2 linked regions of the Cricetulus griseus genome follow. The protein of the gene in region 1 interacts with the protein of each later gene in a pairwise test. Links are inferred from orthologs where the notes say so. Each region holds a gene or a part of one and is shown in the gene's direction. Other genes may lie near its edges. The genes, in order: Atf5 and Trib3.

Evidence for each region.
Region 2: the proteins of Atf5 (region 1) and Trib3 interact in a two-hybrid assay, tested with the Homo sapiens proteins (2 studies listed by BioGRID and IntAct). The link is inferred for Cricetulus griseus from reciprocal best matches to the Homo sapiens genes ATF5 and TRIB3.

Annotation. Positions count from the first base shown.
Region 1 is NC_048599.1:153,650,219-153,658,983, reverse strand, and holds Atf5 (cyclic AMP-dependent transcription factor ATF-5), read left to right. Parts: upstream 1-4,456; 5' UTR 4,457-4,518; coding exon of another isoform or gene 4,519-4,760; exon of another isoform or gene 4,761-4,875; intron 4,876-4,938; exon of another isoform or gene 4,939-4,995; intron 4,996-5,731; 5' UTR 5,732-5,841; coding exon 5,842-6,019; intron 6,020-7,516; coding exon 7,517-8,178; 3' UTR 8,179-8,762; downstream 8,763-8,765. Other genes in the region: Il4i1 (L-amino-acid oxidase), read right to left, coding at 4,519-4,760.
Region 2 is NC_048599.1:27,707,394-27,716,038, forward strand, and holds the start of Trib3 (tribbles homolog 3), read left to right. Parts: upstream 1-3,881; 5' UTR 3,882-3,952; intron 3,953-4,093; 5' UTR 4,094-4,141; intron 4,142-4,313; exon of another isoform or gene 4,314-4,503; intron 4,504-4,932; coding exon 4,933-5,220; intron 5,221-8,645. UniProt on the Homo sapiens protein: Inactive protein kinase which acts as a regulator of the integrated stress response (ISR), a process for adaptation to various stress. Inhibits the transcriptional activity of DDIT3/CHOP and is involved in DDIT3/CHOP-dependent cell death during ER stress.

The DNA of each region.
Region 1 (8,765 bases):
CTAGCACTGTGTGGGGATTATGGTATCAAGTTCCCTGCCCTGACACAGGCAACTCATTCAGAAGTGTATTGTGTGTGGGGGGGAGGGGGGGCACATTGGGAAGGATTATGGGAAAGAACAAAGTCCAGACCTTGTCCTCTATGTACTGGAGGAAATGGTCACGTACACAGACATGCGTCCATCTTCTAGCCAGTCAGAATGTTCAAGTATGGTGGGACAGGAAGGGAAGCTACACCAGACCCGGAGCTCCTAGAGAAGATTTCCTACAGCTACACCCTTAGTCTACACGCCCTAGCAGTACAGTGTGTGCTGAAGACTCATCTCCCTGTACCACAGAGATGGGCAGCCACTTTGCAAACAATCTAGAAGTGCCTTGAGGTCAGTTTCTTTCAACAAGGCACCATGCCTTTGTTCTACAACACAAGCTTGCCTTGCACATGTATCCCCAGGGCAGTAACATTGTTCATTTGTAAGGTAGGTCCTTAGTTAGGAAAATGAGCCAGATCCGATGCCATATGCATTCCAATTGGTAAGTCAACTGACAGGCCGATGCTCACCCTATTCTGCAGACAAAAACCAAGATAAGCAGGCCCCATAAAGCCCAAGCCTTTTCTATCACATAGGGCTGTTCCCTCAAATGGGAAACCAGGGCTTGCTGCAATAGTACAGGTGATGAGGGAGGCAGCTGGATGGATAAGAACAAAGATACATAGAAAGTATCGAAATGAAACCTCTCTCTTTGCATACTAACAAAAAAAAAAGAAAAAAAGAAAAAGCAAAGAAAACACAGATCTGATAAAGCATGTCTCCACTAGGGCAGGCTGGTATGGATAGCATCTAGCAACTGAAGCAAAGAACAAACCTAGATAATGGTCTGGGTTTGAGGACTTATGGGACCCTGATAGGGTGGAGAACCCTGCTCTATCAGGGAGCCATGAACAATTCTCTTTCCCTTTCCAGACTTCAGTCTTGTCTTCAATAACCAAGCTACAAGCCAGTAGGATGCCAGACCCCTTCTAAGCACAAAGCCCCAGATTCTCTGGGTTCTGCCCAGGCATGCCCCTCCAAGGACCCCTCCCCACTGCTGCCCTGGGACCTCCTCCTACCCAGGGCTTTGTTACCCAGGAGCTGTTGCCAGGTGCTCTGTGGCCCCCTGAGAATTCCCTCACCCTTTCCTACCCATCAGAGTCAAGGCTGATGCAACTGCCTGCAACCAGCCGCCTCACTCCTCAGCTCAGGCCCCTCCGCACTAGCAAAGAGTTCCAAGCAGCTCCACCCTTGCTCCTGGCTCCCCATAGGACGCTGTTTTTTTGAGAGGAGGTGAGGCTGCCATTTAAGTCTGAGTAAGGGTCAGGGATAGAGAGAATAACACGCATGACGGACACATGAAAACACAGACCCACATGTGTACTGGACAAGGCTCAGGGTCCAAAGATGTAAGGTGGCAGGCCTCCATGGTTGATGACCCGCCATAAAGCGACGATGCACAAATGCTGAGAAGGGCATGGTAACTAACTATGGAAAGCAGCACCCATTCAGCATGACTGAGTCAAGATGGAGGGGCTGTAGCTGGGTGGGACCCTGGGACAGAAAAAGGGAGTGCAGACCCACAGCTGCACCATGGGGAAAACTATGAGCCTGGTACTCCACCCTGGACTGTCTTTGCAACCTTTCTGATTATTCCAAAAGTTTACTTCAAAATACCAAATTAACTGGGTGGTGCTGGTATACCTTTAATCCCAGAACTCAGGAGGCAGACCTCTGTTTGAGGGACCCTGGTCTACAGACTAAGTTCCAAGACAGCCAGCGCTACACAGAGAAGTCCTGTCTCAAAACAAAAACAAAAATAGGGGCTGGAGAGATGGTTTAGCAGTTAAGAGCACTGGCTGCTGTTCCAGTTCACACCAATGCACATAAAATGAATTTTAATAAATTATTTAAAAAACAAAGAAATAAAAAAATAAAAGCCAAATTCGAGGGAAGGAGCAGCATGGGCACTGCACCACAGTACACTGTCTCAAAAATAAAACATCTATGGGAAAGAAACCAGAGATACTGTTTAAGTGGTAGAACGCTTGCCTAGCATGTATGAAGCCCTTGGGTCAATCCAGAATTACCTACAAAGGGTATGGTGGTACACATCTGTCATCTCAGCACTTGTGAGGTAAAGGCAAGAAGACTCACTCCTGCAAGTCCATCCTCAGCTACACAGCCAAGTTCAAGGCAAGCCTGGAATGAGGAGACTCTCAAAAACAAACACATAAACACATACCCCTCTATGGGGTGGAGATGTAGCTTCAATAGCCTATTTAATACAAGGCATCCAAATGCGATCCCTAATACATACCAGAAAGAAAGAAAGAAAGAAAGAAAAAGAAAGAAAGAAAGAAAAAGGAAGGAAGGAAGGAAGGAAGGAAGGACGGACGGACGGACGAACCCGTGGACAACCAGTGATATTCTGAAGGCACACCAGTGAACACAGAACACATCCATCCACTTCTGTATTAATAGCAGTCTTTATGTAGAGACTACTGTGTCTGTGATAAGATAGCTTAAGCACACCCCACACAGACTTAATACAGCTGGACAAGTGAGGACACTGGCAGAGGACAGAAGAGTGCCCACTCCAAGGGAAGGTGGTCAGGTCCCAAGGACTTCCTTCTAGTAACTTTCAAAATCAGTTTCCCCCACCTGCTCTGAATATGGCATTTTTCCTTTGACAATAGCAGGGGCTGGAACCCAGAACCTCAAAAGCAGTACTCTACCATGGACCCACAACCCCAACCCATTATTATTTTTATTTTTTGAAAATCAGGGTCTTGGTAAGTTCCCTAGACAGACTTTCTAGCCCAGGCAAGCCTTGAACCTTTTTTTTTTTTTTTTTTTTAATTACACTCTTATTCGACAAGTGTTGGTGGTACATGCCTTTAGTCCCAGCACTCAGGAGGCAGAGGCAGGCAGATCTCTGTGAATTCGAGACCAGCCTGGGCTACAAGAGCTAGTTCCAGGACAGCCTCCAAATCCACAGAGAATCCCTGTCTCCAGAAACAAAACAACAACAACAAAAAAATACACTCCTTTTCAGTAACACAGACATGTCACCACTCAAGTGTGGTGGAAGTCAGCCAACAACTTTCTGGCGTTGCTTCTCCTGGGATAACTCAGACTGTCAAGTCTAGAGACCACCACTCAGCACTCAGGCCCTGACCTTGACTTCCAATACTCCTGCTGGCCTGGCTTTTGAATCTTTTCTTAAAAACACATCGAGGCCAGCCAGGATAACCTTGAATTCATGATCCCTTCTGCTTCCACCTCCCAAATACTGGCATTATAGGTATGCACCAACCCCAGTTTATGTGGTGCTGGGGCAGAACTCAAGGTTCTTGAGTGAAATAGGCAGGCATTCTACCGAGTTCCATCTCCAACTCTTAATTTGGGTCTTGATTTAGTCTCTCAGCTGTATCAGGCAGGCTGACTTCCAGACGGAATGTCCAGACATGGATGGCCACGGGTGGGAAATGAGATTCATGCATCAGCCTAGGGAAGGACCATGGGGCTTCTTTGACTAAATGGAATATAAACATCCAATTTCAGACAAGGCCAGGAGAAAATTATCTAGTGAGGTCAGCAAGAGACCAAGGACTGAAAGGAAGTCAGGGAAAGGGGCAAAACAATGAACCACCTGGTAAGAGAGCTAAGAGGTCGTCGCAGGGGCAGAGCACCAGCCTGTAGAATGAGGAAAATGAAGATGCCCACAAACAAAAACCTTGGAAGGTAGGCCACACAGTGTGATCACACGGACATGCTGGATGGTTAAGGGCCCGGGTGGAGAGATTCAAATAGGTGAAACGATTCGGTGGGTAAAGTCTGTCAAACATGACAACCCGAGTTCCAACTCTGGGATCCACATGGTGGTAAAACAAAACAAAACAAAACAAAACTTCTCAAAGTTGTCCTCTAACCGCCACACACACACACACAATAAAGGTTTAAAAAGTGTTAACTAGGAGCCCTGTGATTAGGACTTCGTGGCCTACCTCCCATAGCTACTCTATTTGTGCGTTTATACACATTTGGGGGGCATTTTCCTGCTGCTGCTGCTGCTTTAATTCGCTTAAAATCGCTAAGCTAGCTTGAAATCGCCATCCCACGATGGGCCGACCCACGAGGGCTCACAGGAGGCGACGTCGGTTGGGACCGGTGGCGCATTCGTGAAGCATTCGTGAGCTAGCGAATCAGGAGAGCGAGTGCTGAGGGTCCGGGCGACATGGCGGGCCCAGGGTCGCCTCCGCCCCGTCGGGACCACGCGGGGGCGGGGCGGGGCGCGGAGGGATCCGGGAGGCCCGCGCTGCGCCGCCCCCGGTATATTTGTCCCCAGGCCCCGGGGCCGCCTCATTCTCCACCTTCTCAGAACCATTTCTCCTAACGCTCCCGCCACGCCGCCTCCGCCCGCCCAGCCCCCGCCATGGCTCTGTAGCCGTGATCCTGTGGTGCCCCCGGCCCGGCTTCCGCGCTCACCGCGCCTGCACTCTCCGCTCCCGCCGTCTGTTCAGCCGAGGCCGCCGTCGCCGCCTCTCCTTTCCGCAGCCATGGAGTGAGTAACCGCTCGCCCCTCCCTCTCCAACCGCCTTTCCCGCCCTTTCCCAGAGCTCGCGGGGCTTCACGGACCAGCCGCGTGGGGGTGGGGAGACGGGGAGCCAGGAACCGCGGCCGCGCAGGCGCAGAGAGGGACAATGGTGGCCGGTGGGTCCGCTGGGCATGCGCGCTGGGCTCGAGCCGTGGAGGAGGGTATGCTTCCGGAGGGTTGGGGGTGGTGGTTTAAAGACGGCTCGCTCGCCTTCGCTCCCGCACGCTGCTTCCCAGTGCCTCTCCCTCCCTCCCTCCCTCCCTTCTCCCAGGATGCGACCCACACCCCGTGGCGCACGCGCACTAACCTACCCGAGGCCGGAACTACGAAGGGCAGCTCTAGCGGCGTTACAATGGCCCGCTTTCAGGGTGCGAGCATGCGCTTTGACGCAGAAAGGAAGGGTGGGGTTTAAGTCAGGCCGATTCCTTGAGGCGCTGACTCAGGCCCCGCTTCCCTCCAATCAGGCACCTGCTGGGGCGGGGAATGCTTAGATTGACAGGGAAGACAAGGTTTAGGAACGTCTTTAAGGAGGTGGAGCTAGCACCGCAGGGGCGGGGCCTCTGGGACTTGCTAGTTGAGGGCGGGAACCGAGGTAGACAGGCAAGTGGGCGGGGCTTCTTGTAGAGTCTGTGGAAGTCGCCTAAATTTTTTTCTATTTTTTTGATTTAAATTAGAAACAAGATTATTTTACATGTCAATCCCAGTTCCCTCTCCCTCCCCGTCACCTAAAAATTTAAGGGAAGAGTGGGATTTGAGTGTGTGACACTGATGAAGGGCCCAGGCATGGCAGAATCCCTCTGGGAATCCCTGTGGGTCGGTGGACTCTAAAGGGTGTAAACTAAAGGGAATATTGATGTGGAAGGGGCATGGCTAGAAGACAATTCCCTTGGGATTCAGATTTTTATGAAGAGGGGCTGGAGGTGATTCCCCTAGGGAAACAATAGGTTTCTGTGTTGAGGGAGGAAATGGGGCTTGTGAGTTCAAGAATTCTCTTGGGAATGTGTGGAGCTCTGGAATTTGGGGAGAGAAGTGAAGTGTGAGGGGCCTGTAGGTCAAGCAGCTTTTAACCCAACCCAACCCCACCCCCTTTTGTCTCCTTCACAGGTCCTCCATCTTTGTCTTGCTGCCTGTTGTCACCCAGCTGAACAATCTCCCAAGCTGCCTCCCCACTATTGGTGCAGCCTCCATCCGTGCCCTGCGCCTGTGTCTCAGCCATGTCACTCCTGGCGACCCTGGGGCTGGAACTGGACAGGGCCCTGCTCCCAGCTAGCGGGCTGGGCTGGCTCGTAGACTATGGGAAACTCCCCCTGGCCCCTGCCCCCCTGGGCCCCTATGAGGTCCTTGGGGGAGCCCTGGAGGGCGGGCTTCCAGGGGGGGGAGAGCCCCTGGCAGGTAAGAACAGGTAGAGAGCAGAGGTGGGTTGAGCTTGAGGCAGGGAGGGAGGGCAAGAAAAGGAAGAATGTATTCATTCCCAAGATGAGTACTGAGGGCCTCAGCTCTGTTCTGGGTGTTCAGGGTTCAGAGCAAAGGGTCCCTAAGCTCATGGAACATTAGGGAACAGCTGTTGAACTGAAAGTGATGAAAGACCTAGTTGAGAAGTCACATAACCTCCAAGTAGACAGACATATGAACTGGGGGCTAGGGGATGAGAAGAAAGGAGCCATGATAAGGCCTGAGGTGCTTCCATCTAAGAGACTCTAGGGCAGACATCATTCTCTCTTAACTATAACAGCAATTGCAGCAATAATAAGTAGCTGGCCCTGGTGGCACATACCTATAGTTCCCCCTTTCAAGAGGCTTCTCATCCTCTTGAGCCCATGAGTTTCAGGCCAATCTAGGCTTCTCAAAAACAGAAAACAAGAATGAATAAAGATGGAATGTGAGAGACAGAGAGCAAGAAAGAGAGATCCAGAGAGAGTGAGAGAGTGTGTGTGTGTGTGTGTGTGTGTGTGTGTGTGTGTGATCTTAGCACCCTGGGGGAGAGGAAGAACCATCTAAAGTTAAGACTGCCCTCAGCTATGTTCAGGGCCAACCTAGACTACATGAGACCTTGTCTCAAATAAATAAATGAGTAAACGAGAGAAAACATAGGTATAGGGGTATAGTCAACCAGCCCTACAGATAAGACAATGGTTTCAGAAGTAGTAGCTGACTTGAGTGGATCATTAGTTGGTTGACTGCTTCACTAAGTGGTTAGCCTATTATTCCATTGCTTAGTTGGTAAATTAATTGGTTGGTTGACTGACTTGACTCATTGATTGGCTTGTTCACTGATTGGTTAGTGAGTTGATTAGTTTATTAACAAGTCTGGTGAACTGTTTGATTGGCTGATTGGTTGGTTGACTGGTGAACTCTGGTTCATTGCTCACTTCAGTGGGTTACTTGGTTGGCTACTGAACTGTATGGTTGGCTGATTGGTTAGTTGCCTCATTCATTGTTAGTGGATCAGTTTGTTGATTGATTGGTGAAGTATGGTTGGCTGATTGATTGTCTGACTTTTTCATTGATTAATGAATTGGTTGGTTGGTTGATTGGTTGGATGGTTTGTTACATGACTGACTGGTTTGTTGGTTGCCTGATTCATTGGGTAGTAGGTTGGTTGGTTGGCTGATAGATTCTATGGTTCACTCATTTGTTAGTTAATTCATTGGTTCGTGTCTTGGTGGGTACACTAATTGGTCTGTTGACTGCTTGAATAGTTAGTGGGTGGGTGGGTTGGTTGGTTGCCTGGTTCATTGGTTTCTTCCCTGACTTACTGGTCTGCTGACAGGTCTATAAATTCAATGGCTGGCTGGTCACTTTTTACATTGAGTGAGTGGGACATGAGTGAGCACCAAATGGGTAAAGAACAGACCTCAGGAGCCTTTTATGTCCCCCCTCCATCCTCAGGTGATGGCTTCTCTGATTGGATGACAGAGCGAGTTGACTTCACGGCCCTCCTCCCTCTGGAGGCCCCTCTGCCGCCAGGCACCCTCCCCCCACCCTCTCCAGCCCCCCCTGACCTGGAAGCCATGGCTTCCCTGCTCAAGAAGGAGCTAGAACAGATGGAAGACTTCTTCCTTGATGCCCCACTCCTCCCACCACCCTCCCCACCACCACCAGCATCCTCCCTGCCCCTGTCCTTGCCCCTGCCCACCTTTGACCTTCCTCAGCCCCCTGCTCTGGATACCCTGGACCTGCTGGCTGTCTACTGCCGAAGTGAGGCTGGGCCAGGGGATGCAGGCTTGGCAACCCTGCCTGCCCCCCAGCAGCCTCCTCCTTCTCTGGCCCCTCTGCCTTCACCCTCTCGCCCAGCCCCCTATCCTAGTCCTGCCATCACCAGAGGTGACCGCAAGCAGAAGAAGAGAGATCAGAATAAGTCAGCAGCTCTCAGGTACCGCCAGAGGAAGCGGGCAGAGGGCGAGGCCCTGGAGGGCGAGTGCCAGGGGCTAGAGGCACGGAACCGTGAGCTGAGGGAGAGGGCAGAGTCGGTGGAGCGGGAGATCCAGTACGTGAAGGACCTGCTAATCGAGGTGTACAAGGCCCGCAGCCAGAGGACCCGAAGCACCTAGGGTACATGCAGGTCCAGGCTGGAAGAGGGAGGTCTGTCATCCCTCTGCCCCCAGCTTCACTCCTACCCTCCATCCCACTCTTCTATCTCATCCATGTCTGGATTTCCCTACCTACTCCCCCTATGGTTATTTGGTTTAGTCAGTTTCTGTACCCTTTCAATGCAACTGAGGAACCAAGGCCCTCAGGGAATTTGAGAATACAGCCTGAACCCTGGTTTCTGGAGTCTAAAACAAGTGTGTTTTTGCAGGTAGTCCTAGTTGGGTTCGGGGGACTGTCAGGTCTGGCATGGAGGTAAGGCAGGAAGCCACTCAGGGTAACTGCTGATGAGAACCTAGTCAGGGAGGGAGGGCTTTAAGGAGGGGACATAGGACACACATGAGAAGTCAGCCAACGGAAGGGAGTCAAGTCCTCAGTACAGGAGAGATGTTAGCCAAGAGAGAAGGGTGGCTGTAGTTGGTAACTAGGGGCCATTTAGCTTTGGGAGAGAATCAGTGTTTGGTGAAGGTGTTAGGGAGGGATTGCATCTAGTGGGGGCTGATCCTCCAGGGGTTATGGGCACAAATAAAATGCAGAATTTCCTGTGGTC
Region 2 (8,645 bases), about 130 Mb from region 1:
TCATCACTCCATGGGGTCCTTGGGTCACTGATGGCCTGGTCCTTGTCCTCTCCTGGATACGGCCTGTGAAGGCTGTGGGTGATGACAGATCTGTGGGAATGGCACAGGAGACCCCGGAGAAAGGGAGAAGATGTACTAAAATGAGCCAGGCATGCTGGCACATGCCTTTCATCCCAGCACTCTGGAGGCAGAGGCAGGCTGATCTCTGTGAATTGGAGGCCAGCCTGGTCTACAGATCGAGTTCCAGGATGGCCAACGCTATGCAGAGAATCTGTCTAGAAAAACCGAATATAATCATAAAAAATAATAAATGTCCATTTTAAGCTAGGCGTTGTGCATATGTCTATAATCCTATCTACTCCAGAAGCTGAGGCAGAAGAATAGCACATTCAAGGTTGACTTTGTCTGTGCAGTTGAGCTAGGGGCCAGTGTAGATAATTCAGTGAGATGGTGTCTCATATTTTTTTTTTTTTAATGTAGGAAAAGGAGAGGACCAGGCATGAAGCTCACTGGCAGGTTCTTGCCTAGATGTAGCCTCCTGTGGTTAGTGAAGAGCCCTTGGGACAGACTTAGTAGACTTCTTAGGAGAGGCCTTACCCTCTCTGTGGAGCAGATGGGAGGAGGGGGGAATGGGGAGAGCGGGAGGAGAGGAGGAAGGGGAAACTGGGATTGGAATGTAAAAAATAAATTAATAAAAAATAAAAATAAGAAAAAATTCTATCTCAAAATATGAAAAAAAAAATCACTGAGCCTCTGTCTAACACGCAAAAGGCCTCAGCTTGGCCTCCAGCACTACAGAAAACAAAACCCCAAAAACTGATGGAGGAAGAGGTCACCATAAATGCCAGCAGAACAAAACAAGATTATGCAATCCCAGCTCAATCCAGCTCTGACTGAAGCCTCAGAGTCACAGTTTTGCTCTCCAGTTCTTCAGAGAGAGGTGTGAAACACAGAGAAACTCTGAAGTAAGACTTCCTCCCCAAGGCACTGGGGGAGCGAGAGTCTCACATGGGAGGAGATGCCACGCTTCTGCAGTGAGTTAGTTTTCCCACACAGTGACACTGTGCCAGTATGGGAGAATACACTAACCTATACCAACCTTCTCTTCCAATTTTTATTTTCTCAGTAAACTCATTAGTTTTCTTGTATGCTATACATTTATAGATTTCTTCTCTGTGCATATGTGTGTGGGAATTTGTGGGCCACAGTTTGCTGAGGAAGTCAGATAACAGGTTTCTTTTTCATCACGTGGGTTTTGAGGATCCGACTCACGTGGTCAGCCTTGGTGACAGGCACCTTTTACACGCTGAGCTATCTTGCCAGCCCACATTTGTTTTGTTTGTGGAGGTAAGGACTCACTCGATAGCCTAGGCTGAATTTATGTCAATCCTCCTGTCTCAGTCTCCTAAGGCCTGGGATTACAGGCACGGGCCACCATACCTGGCTGAACCATTAATAGTTTAGTTCCCACGATCCTCTGGATTCAAAAGAAATGTAAAACACGCACTAGAGAGCTGGGGGTGCTGCCCTATGCCTGTAATCTCAGCACTCCAGAGAGTTAGACACCAGCCTAATTACACAATGAGACCTTTGAATCAGGCCAAATGTGGTGGCATGCACCTGTAATCTCAGCATGCAAGAAGGCGGGAGGGCCAAGAGTTCCAGGCCAGCCACAGCAGCACTGTGAATCTGAAGCCCGAGTAGGCTGCATGAGATCCTATCTCAATACCATGCCCAGCCTAGACACAGGGGTGTGGGGGTGGAGAGGTGCCTTGGTCCTGCCTCAACGAGATGATGGGACAGACTTAGTAGACTTCTTAGGAGAGGCCTCACCCTCTCTGAGGAGCAGATGGGAGGAGGGGGTAGTGAGGGGAGCTGGAGGAGAGGAGGAATGGGGGAAAAGATGGAGGCTGACACAGTGCTTACTTAGTATGCCCAGTCCCTAGCACCACAGTAAATTGACATTGACACACACACTTGTCATCAGAGCATTGGGGAAATAGGCAGGAGGATTAGAAATCCAAGGCCAACTTCTGCTATATAAATCTGTCTCAATGAAACAACAACAAAACCCAAACCATATAAAATATAAAACGAAAGTTAAAAAAAAAAAAAACAGATTCTGAGAGTGTTTAATGCTATTGGCAATTTTGTTGAGATAACATGTTCAGGCTATACTAAAAACAGTAGGCAAATAAAGTGAATTTCTTTTTAATCCCAGCACTCAGGAAGCAGAGGCAGGCGGATCTCTATGAGCTCAAGACCAGCCTGGTTTACAGATGAGTTCCAGGACAGGCTCCAAAGCTACAGAGAGAAATCCTGTCTTGAAAAACAAAACAAAAAAACCCCAAAAAACCCAACAACTAAAAATAAAAAAAAGTTTAAAGTTTTTTGAGACAGGGTCTGTGTTGCCTCAAACTTGCAATACAGCAGAAGATGAATTTGAACTACTGCTGGGATTATCCTGGCAATTACCGAATCTTGAAAAATTTGTTGGGCTTTTTGTTTTGTGTTTTCTTTTCTTTTCTTTTTCTTTTTCTTTTTCTTTTTTTTCTTTTTTTTTTTTTTTGAGAGAGGGTTTTTCTGTGTAGCCTTAGTTGTCCTGGAACTCACTCGGTAGACCAGGCAGACCTCTAACTCAGAGACCACCTGCCTCTCCCTCCTGAGTGGTAGGACTAAAGGTGTGAGCCACCACCGCCCAGCACTGTGATCTACTTCAAATTACTGTGGTTATTCTTATTCTTATTTTTCTATTAATAAGATCTGTGAGGCAGAGTGGTCAGTGTAGTTACCTTGGGTCCACAGCATTTGAAGAAGGGCAAGCAGTGAGCAATGCCAAGCATACCTAGCTCAGGCCTGATGCTGGTGGGTACACAGAAAACAACCCCCACCGTTTGTCTCCCACAGCTCTGGGGTCTTCCACCTGTCTTGGGTGCTGAAAATAAGTTCATTTATCCCTCCCCAGCGGCCGGGTGGGCAGAAGCAAATTAGATCCCAGAATCCTCTGCTGTATTCGGATTTGGGAGAGGGAGACACAAGAGAGCTGGTTCCCTGGCTTCCAGAACTAGAGAAGCAAAGGTGTCTTGGTCCTGCCTCCCTCTAGCTCTTTCTGGAGGAATTTTTCCCCCCTTTTTTTTGATATGGATGAACTCAAGTATAAAGACATAAGTTAGTATGACAGGAGCACTGGGCCTTTGGGGCTTTGCCAGGGTGGCAGAATGGAGGCAGGTGTCACTACCATGTCTAGCTTCAGCTGTGGCTGGACTCTTGTTCGATCCGTCCACCTCCAGTGTCCAGGGCAGCATCCTAGTTACTGAGTGCCTTGGTATCCCACATACTTCTCTACGTTTTGTTTTGTTGTTGTTTATTTTGTTATTTTATTTTTATTATTTTGTGTTCATTGGTGTTTTGCCTGTGTGTATGTCTGCTGGATCTCCTGGAACTAGAGTTACAGACAGGTGTGAGCTGCCATGTGAGTGCCGGGAATTGAACCTGGAAGAGCAGCCAGTGCTCTTAACCTGTGAGCCATCTCCCCAGCCACAATTTTTTGTTGTTGTTTTTCATGACAGGGGCATCTCTATGGGTTCGAGATCAGCCTGGTCTACAGAGTGAGTTCCAAGCAAGTTAGAGCTACACGGGCAAACTGACCATCCTCCTGACTCAGGCTTTCGAGTAACTGAGGTTCCAGGTGTGCATCACACCCAGCTCATCTAAGCGTTTTGCATTCACGAACTTACTACGGCTCACAGCAACTATACGAAGAGAGCACCGTTCCAAATCCTCTGTTTATGGAGAAGGGAACTGACGCTACCTTTTCTTTGGTTGTTTTTGGCTTTGTTACAGAGCAGGAACTTAAGCGTGGTAGGCAAGTGCTCTCACAGAGCCACACCCCCAGTCAGCCAGGGCGCTAAGTGGCTTTTCTGAGCTGCAACACGAGTCTGAGCAGAGCGGGGTGAGCACTTGATAGGGTTATTTTGGAGGGGAGGTTCCCAGCATTCAGAACGTGGGACTTCTTGCCCAGGTCAAGTTCGGGGCTTAGTAGGGTGGCACGCGATTTTTAAACAGCCTCCGTTTGTTTTTTGTTTTTCACTAGGATCTCATTCCCATCTCATATATGGGGAAATAGGTGTAAAGAACTACGGTAAGGAGAGTTGGTGGTTCTGGGTACTACTTCAGGGGGCTAAGCGGGGGTGGGGGGCGAGTGGCCCGAAGGCGCAGGCGGAGCACGCTCGCTCGGCTACAGGGGCGGGTCGTGGATGGTGCAATCCAAAACCGCAGGGCGTCAGCTGGAGATTAGCTCAGGTTTACATCAGCCAGGCGGGGATGAGAGCCCGGGTCCCCATGCCGAAGCATTTTAGCAGCGGAAGCCGCTACTGCTGAATCCGCGGAGGCTGAGGTCTGGCACGAACGTGCTGGGGACCCCGAGATCGTCTGGGTGAAGCGGGCTGCGGTGCACGGGCGCAGGCAGGCGGCTCTGAGACCCGTGAGGAACCCTAGGACAAGGTACCGGGTGGGGAGCCGCAAATGGGGGGCGGCGGGGTTGTTTCCCCGAGTCTGGCAAGGATGTTGGAAGTCCGAACATATTTATGAATATTCGTGTGCATATTCTCTCCGGACTCTCTCTTTCGTTCTCTCTCACTCTCGCTTTCTCGCTCTCTAACTCCGAAGGCTGGGAGCGCCCTGGGACTAAGCGGTTGCAGTCATTATGCATCCCAGGCCGGCCAGGAACTAGCCATCCCCCTGCCTCTGCCTCCCCGACGCTGGCAGTGCATGGATGTGCCAGTATGCCCAGCTTTCCTTACTGAATTATTACTAAGTTTGAGAACGCCGTGGCTCGGGAGCTTCGGAAAACCCAGGGTGATGATTCTCTGCGAGAGGGTCCTAGCAGGTAAAACAGGGGTTACCAAACAGTCTTTCTTCCCATCTCTCTAGATGCGAGCCACCCCTCTGGTTGCTTCTGCTGGTGTCCCCTGCCGGAAGAAACCGTTGGAGTTCGATGGCAACATTGATGCCGAAAGTACAGTCCTAAAACGAGCGAGAGGACCCGAACCTGGGCCACCCTGCTTCCTGCTGTCCCCGAGTCCACCTCCTGCCTCAGACTTGTCACCTGCTGTGGCCCCTGCAACCCGACTGGGACCTTATGTCCTCTTGGAACAAGAGCAAGGCAGCCACACCTACCGGGCCCTGCACTGCCCCACAGGCACACAGTACACCTGCAAGGTATGATCTGTGGACCCTCCCCCTAGCATCCCAGGACCCTGCAAAAGGACTGGGACCCAGAGGATTGCAGGGTTCTGGTTTTGCAGATTATCACTGGGCTTCTCAACTGACAAAACTTCATAGGACATCATTCAAGCAGTGCACCAGCAGTGCACCAGCTATGGCCAAAAACCAGACCCAAGCAGGGTGTGGTGGTACATGCCTGAAATCCCAGCGCACTGGAGAGGTTGAGACAGGAGGATTGCCTCAAATTTCAGGATAGCCTGAGGTACATACTGAGAGTCTGTTTCAAAAATAAAAAAAAAACTTAGTCCCAATGCTCCTGCTATCAAACTGACATTCTAGTGAGAGTCATGGAGAGATGATATAAACAGCTGGTGAGCCTCGGAATCTGCATGGTGGGGGAGAGAGAGAGGGAGGGAGGGAGGGAGGGAGAGAGAGAGAGAGAGAGAGGAGGAGATGGGGGAAAGAGAAAGCATACTTGTAATCCTGCACTGAGAAAGTGAAGACAGGCAGACCTCCAGAGCTCACTGGTCAGCCAGCTAACCTATTTAGTGAGTCAGTTCCGCGGTCAGTGAGAGATTCTATCTCAGAGAGGAGAGAGAATGAATAAAAGAGCTAGAGACATGGTTTAGTGGCTTAGAGTGTTTGTAACTTGCAGAGACCCAAGTTCTGTTCCTAGCATCCACTTGAGGCAAGTCACCACCACCTATACAACTCCAGCTCCAGGGAAACCCTGGCCTCCTCAGGCATCTGCACTCATGTACACACATACATTCATACACAGACAGACAGGCACACAGGATTGAAAATAAACTTCAAGAAAGAAATTGCATGGCACCTAAGGTTTTCCTCTGGCTTGCACAGGTGCACACACCAGATGAGAACAGGCAATGATGAGCATCATGGGAATAAAGCTGGTGCCAGTGGGGAGCCAGAAGCTGAGAGAGAAGGAGGCAGACATGTGGGAGTGCAGGGGAAGTCTGGGGGGGCGGGGCTTCCAGACGACAAAGGACAGTGCCTGTCAGAAGTTGAAGGAGGCATGGGGAGGAGGGCCCACTGTAGCGACACCTATAATCCTGACACTTAGGAGGCAAAGGCAAGTGTATCTCTGTGAGTGGGCGGCCAGCCTAGTCTACATAGTGAGTTCCAGGACAGCCAGGGAGGCATAGAAAGATGTCTCAAAAAGCTTACCCCCTCTCTAAAAAAATAAAGAGGTACAAAGATGATACTAGGCAGGGCCAGGCTTTGGAGGAGAAAGAAAAAGTAGTATGTACATTTATTTCCTCCATGTTGCCGTAGCTTTTTAAAAATTTATTGTTTTATGTATATGGGTATTTTGCTTGGTGTATGTCCAGAGCCCCTGGAACTGGGGTTAAGAGACAATTGTGAGCCGGGCACTGGTCACACACTCAGGAGGCAGGCAGATTTCAATGAATTCAAGGCCAGCTTGGACTGTTACATAGAGAAACTTTGTCTTGAAAAACAAAACAAAACAAAACAAAGACAGTTGTGAGCTACCATGTGGGTGCTGGGGATCAAACCTGGGTCCTCTAGAAGAGCAATCAGTGCTCTTAACCACTGATTGACTCATCTCTCCAGCCTCTCGCCTTATATTAATGATCACATTTGACGTTTTCATAGAATAACTATATTACAGTCAAAAGCAACAAAGTGCTATATCAGCTCTGCAATAGCCAGCTTCTAACAGGGTCCAGTGTGGCTTCCCACAAGTCACCCCCCTTTCCCCGAACTTCGGTTCCATTCTCCATAATACTGGACCCACCTTCCGGGTGAGTGTGTTAGACCCTCAGAAAGCTGAGGCTTCCAGAATCTTAGCCCAGGACGGCGGCCACCCCAAACACAGAATGGAGGCGAAAGCTTGATGCAAACTGCATGAGGCTTTATTGTAATTTAACGAACTAACCCCATGTTAGCTCGGGTCTTTCACCCACCCGCCATGGCGGATGGCGAGAAAAGACGGCTCCTTGGGTCTCCCAAAAGATCTTATAGGGCAGCGTAAGGGGAGTGTCTAGGGGTACGCACAGGCTCATGATTGGTGTGCCTCCAGGCTTGGAGGGCTTGCCCTGTGTTGATTGGTCAACTGGTTGTTATGGCCCATAGGCCCTCCCAGGGTGGTTGCTATGCTCTCTACGTCATTGTCGTGCGCTTGTCCGTAAAGCACACCCAGGGTCGTAAAGCATAGCGCCACCAGCTAACTTCTGATTGGTTCCTTGTCACAAGACAGGCATCTGACCTCTAAGTGACTAAGGTTCCTTGTCACGAGACAGGCATCTGACCTCTAAGTGACCAAGGCAGGTTTATGGCAAGCACGTGTTCGGCTGTTATGGCTGCCAAAAGGAAGCCGGTTCCTTCAAGTGCTTAATGTCCACAAACTCTGAATGCATTTCCCAAATGCCCCCAATTTGGGAAGTTTTTCCCATGGCTGTATTTGTGGCATAGCCCGGCATGTCTCAGCCCCAAGCCACGGTAGACTTGAGGTTCGGCCTGAGTGGACTTGGAAGAGTAGACTTGGAAACTCCTAGCAACCCAATGGCAATAAAGACCAAACACAGGCATCTTGTCATCTTTAGAGAGCTCTCAGTTCCATGTTGTAAAACTAGAGTCTCTTGTTTATTGGACATCTTCCTGTCTGTTATCTAACCATGCTTCCAAGGCCACGAGGCCATTTCTATCTCCTTCAGTTGATCTCTCTGCTAGATGGCTCCTAACTCTCTGCCCTTACTTACACACCTAGCCTTCTGCCCAGGTGCAGGCCTATTCAAATGCTTAGTTATGTAGAGATGCAAACTAGGGGACATTCACCACTGAGGCCAAATGTCATTCAACAGATTAGCTCGAATCTGCAATACAATTGTAGGCCGGAGCTGAACCGGAGGTTTGTACCTCCAGATATTTCTTAATGAAACTTTCCTGGTCCCCAAGGTATTTGGATTATTCAGGTCCCTTCTGAATCCTGGGGTCACACGTTGGACACAATCTCACTGTGTAGTTCTGGCAAGCCTGGGACTTTGTAGATCAGGCTGGCCTGAAACTCACAGAGATCCACCTACCTCTGCCTCTCAAGTGCTGAGATTAAAGGTGCATGCCACCATGGCAGGCCAGAACTTTCTAAAATAAGTGTTCCCTTCCAAAATATTAGCTCACACTTGCCTAGCAAAGAATGGTCCTGGCTTTGATTTCCAAGACTGAAAAACAAAGTATTCTGGATTCTAGCTTCTTTCTTGGTTCCTTTGAAAGACGTGATCTCTGGGCTTGCTTGTGCTGCACCATGGACATCACACAAACAGGGCAATGCTGAGTCCTATCAGCTGAGCAGGGGCTGCAGAAAGGTTACTGAGCCGGCTGTGAGGGGGGCTTTGGTGGTGGTCTGCCCCCAGGAGGGATTTTCTATTTGGTTTCAG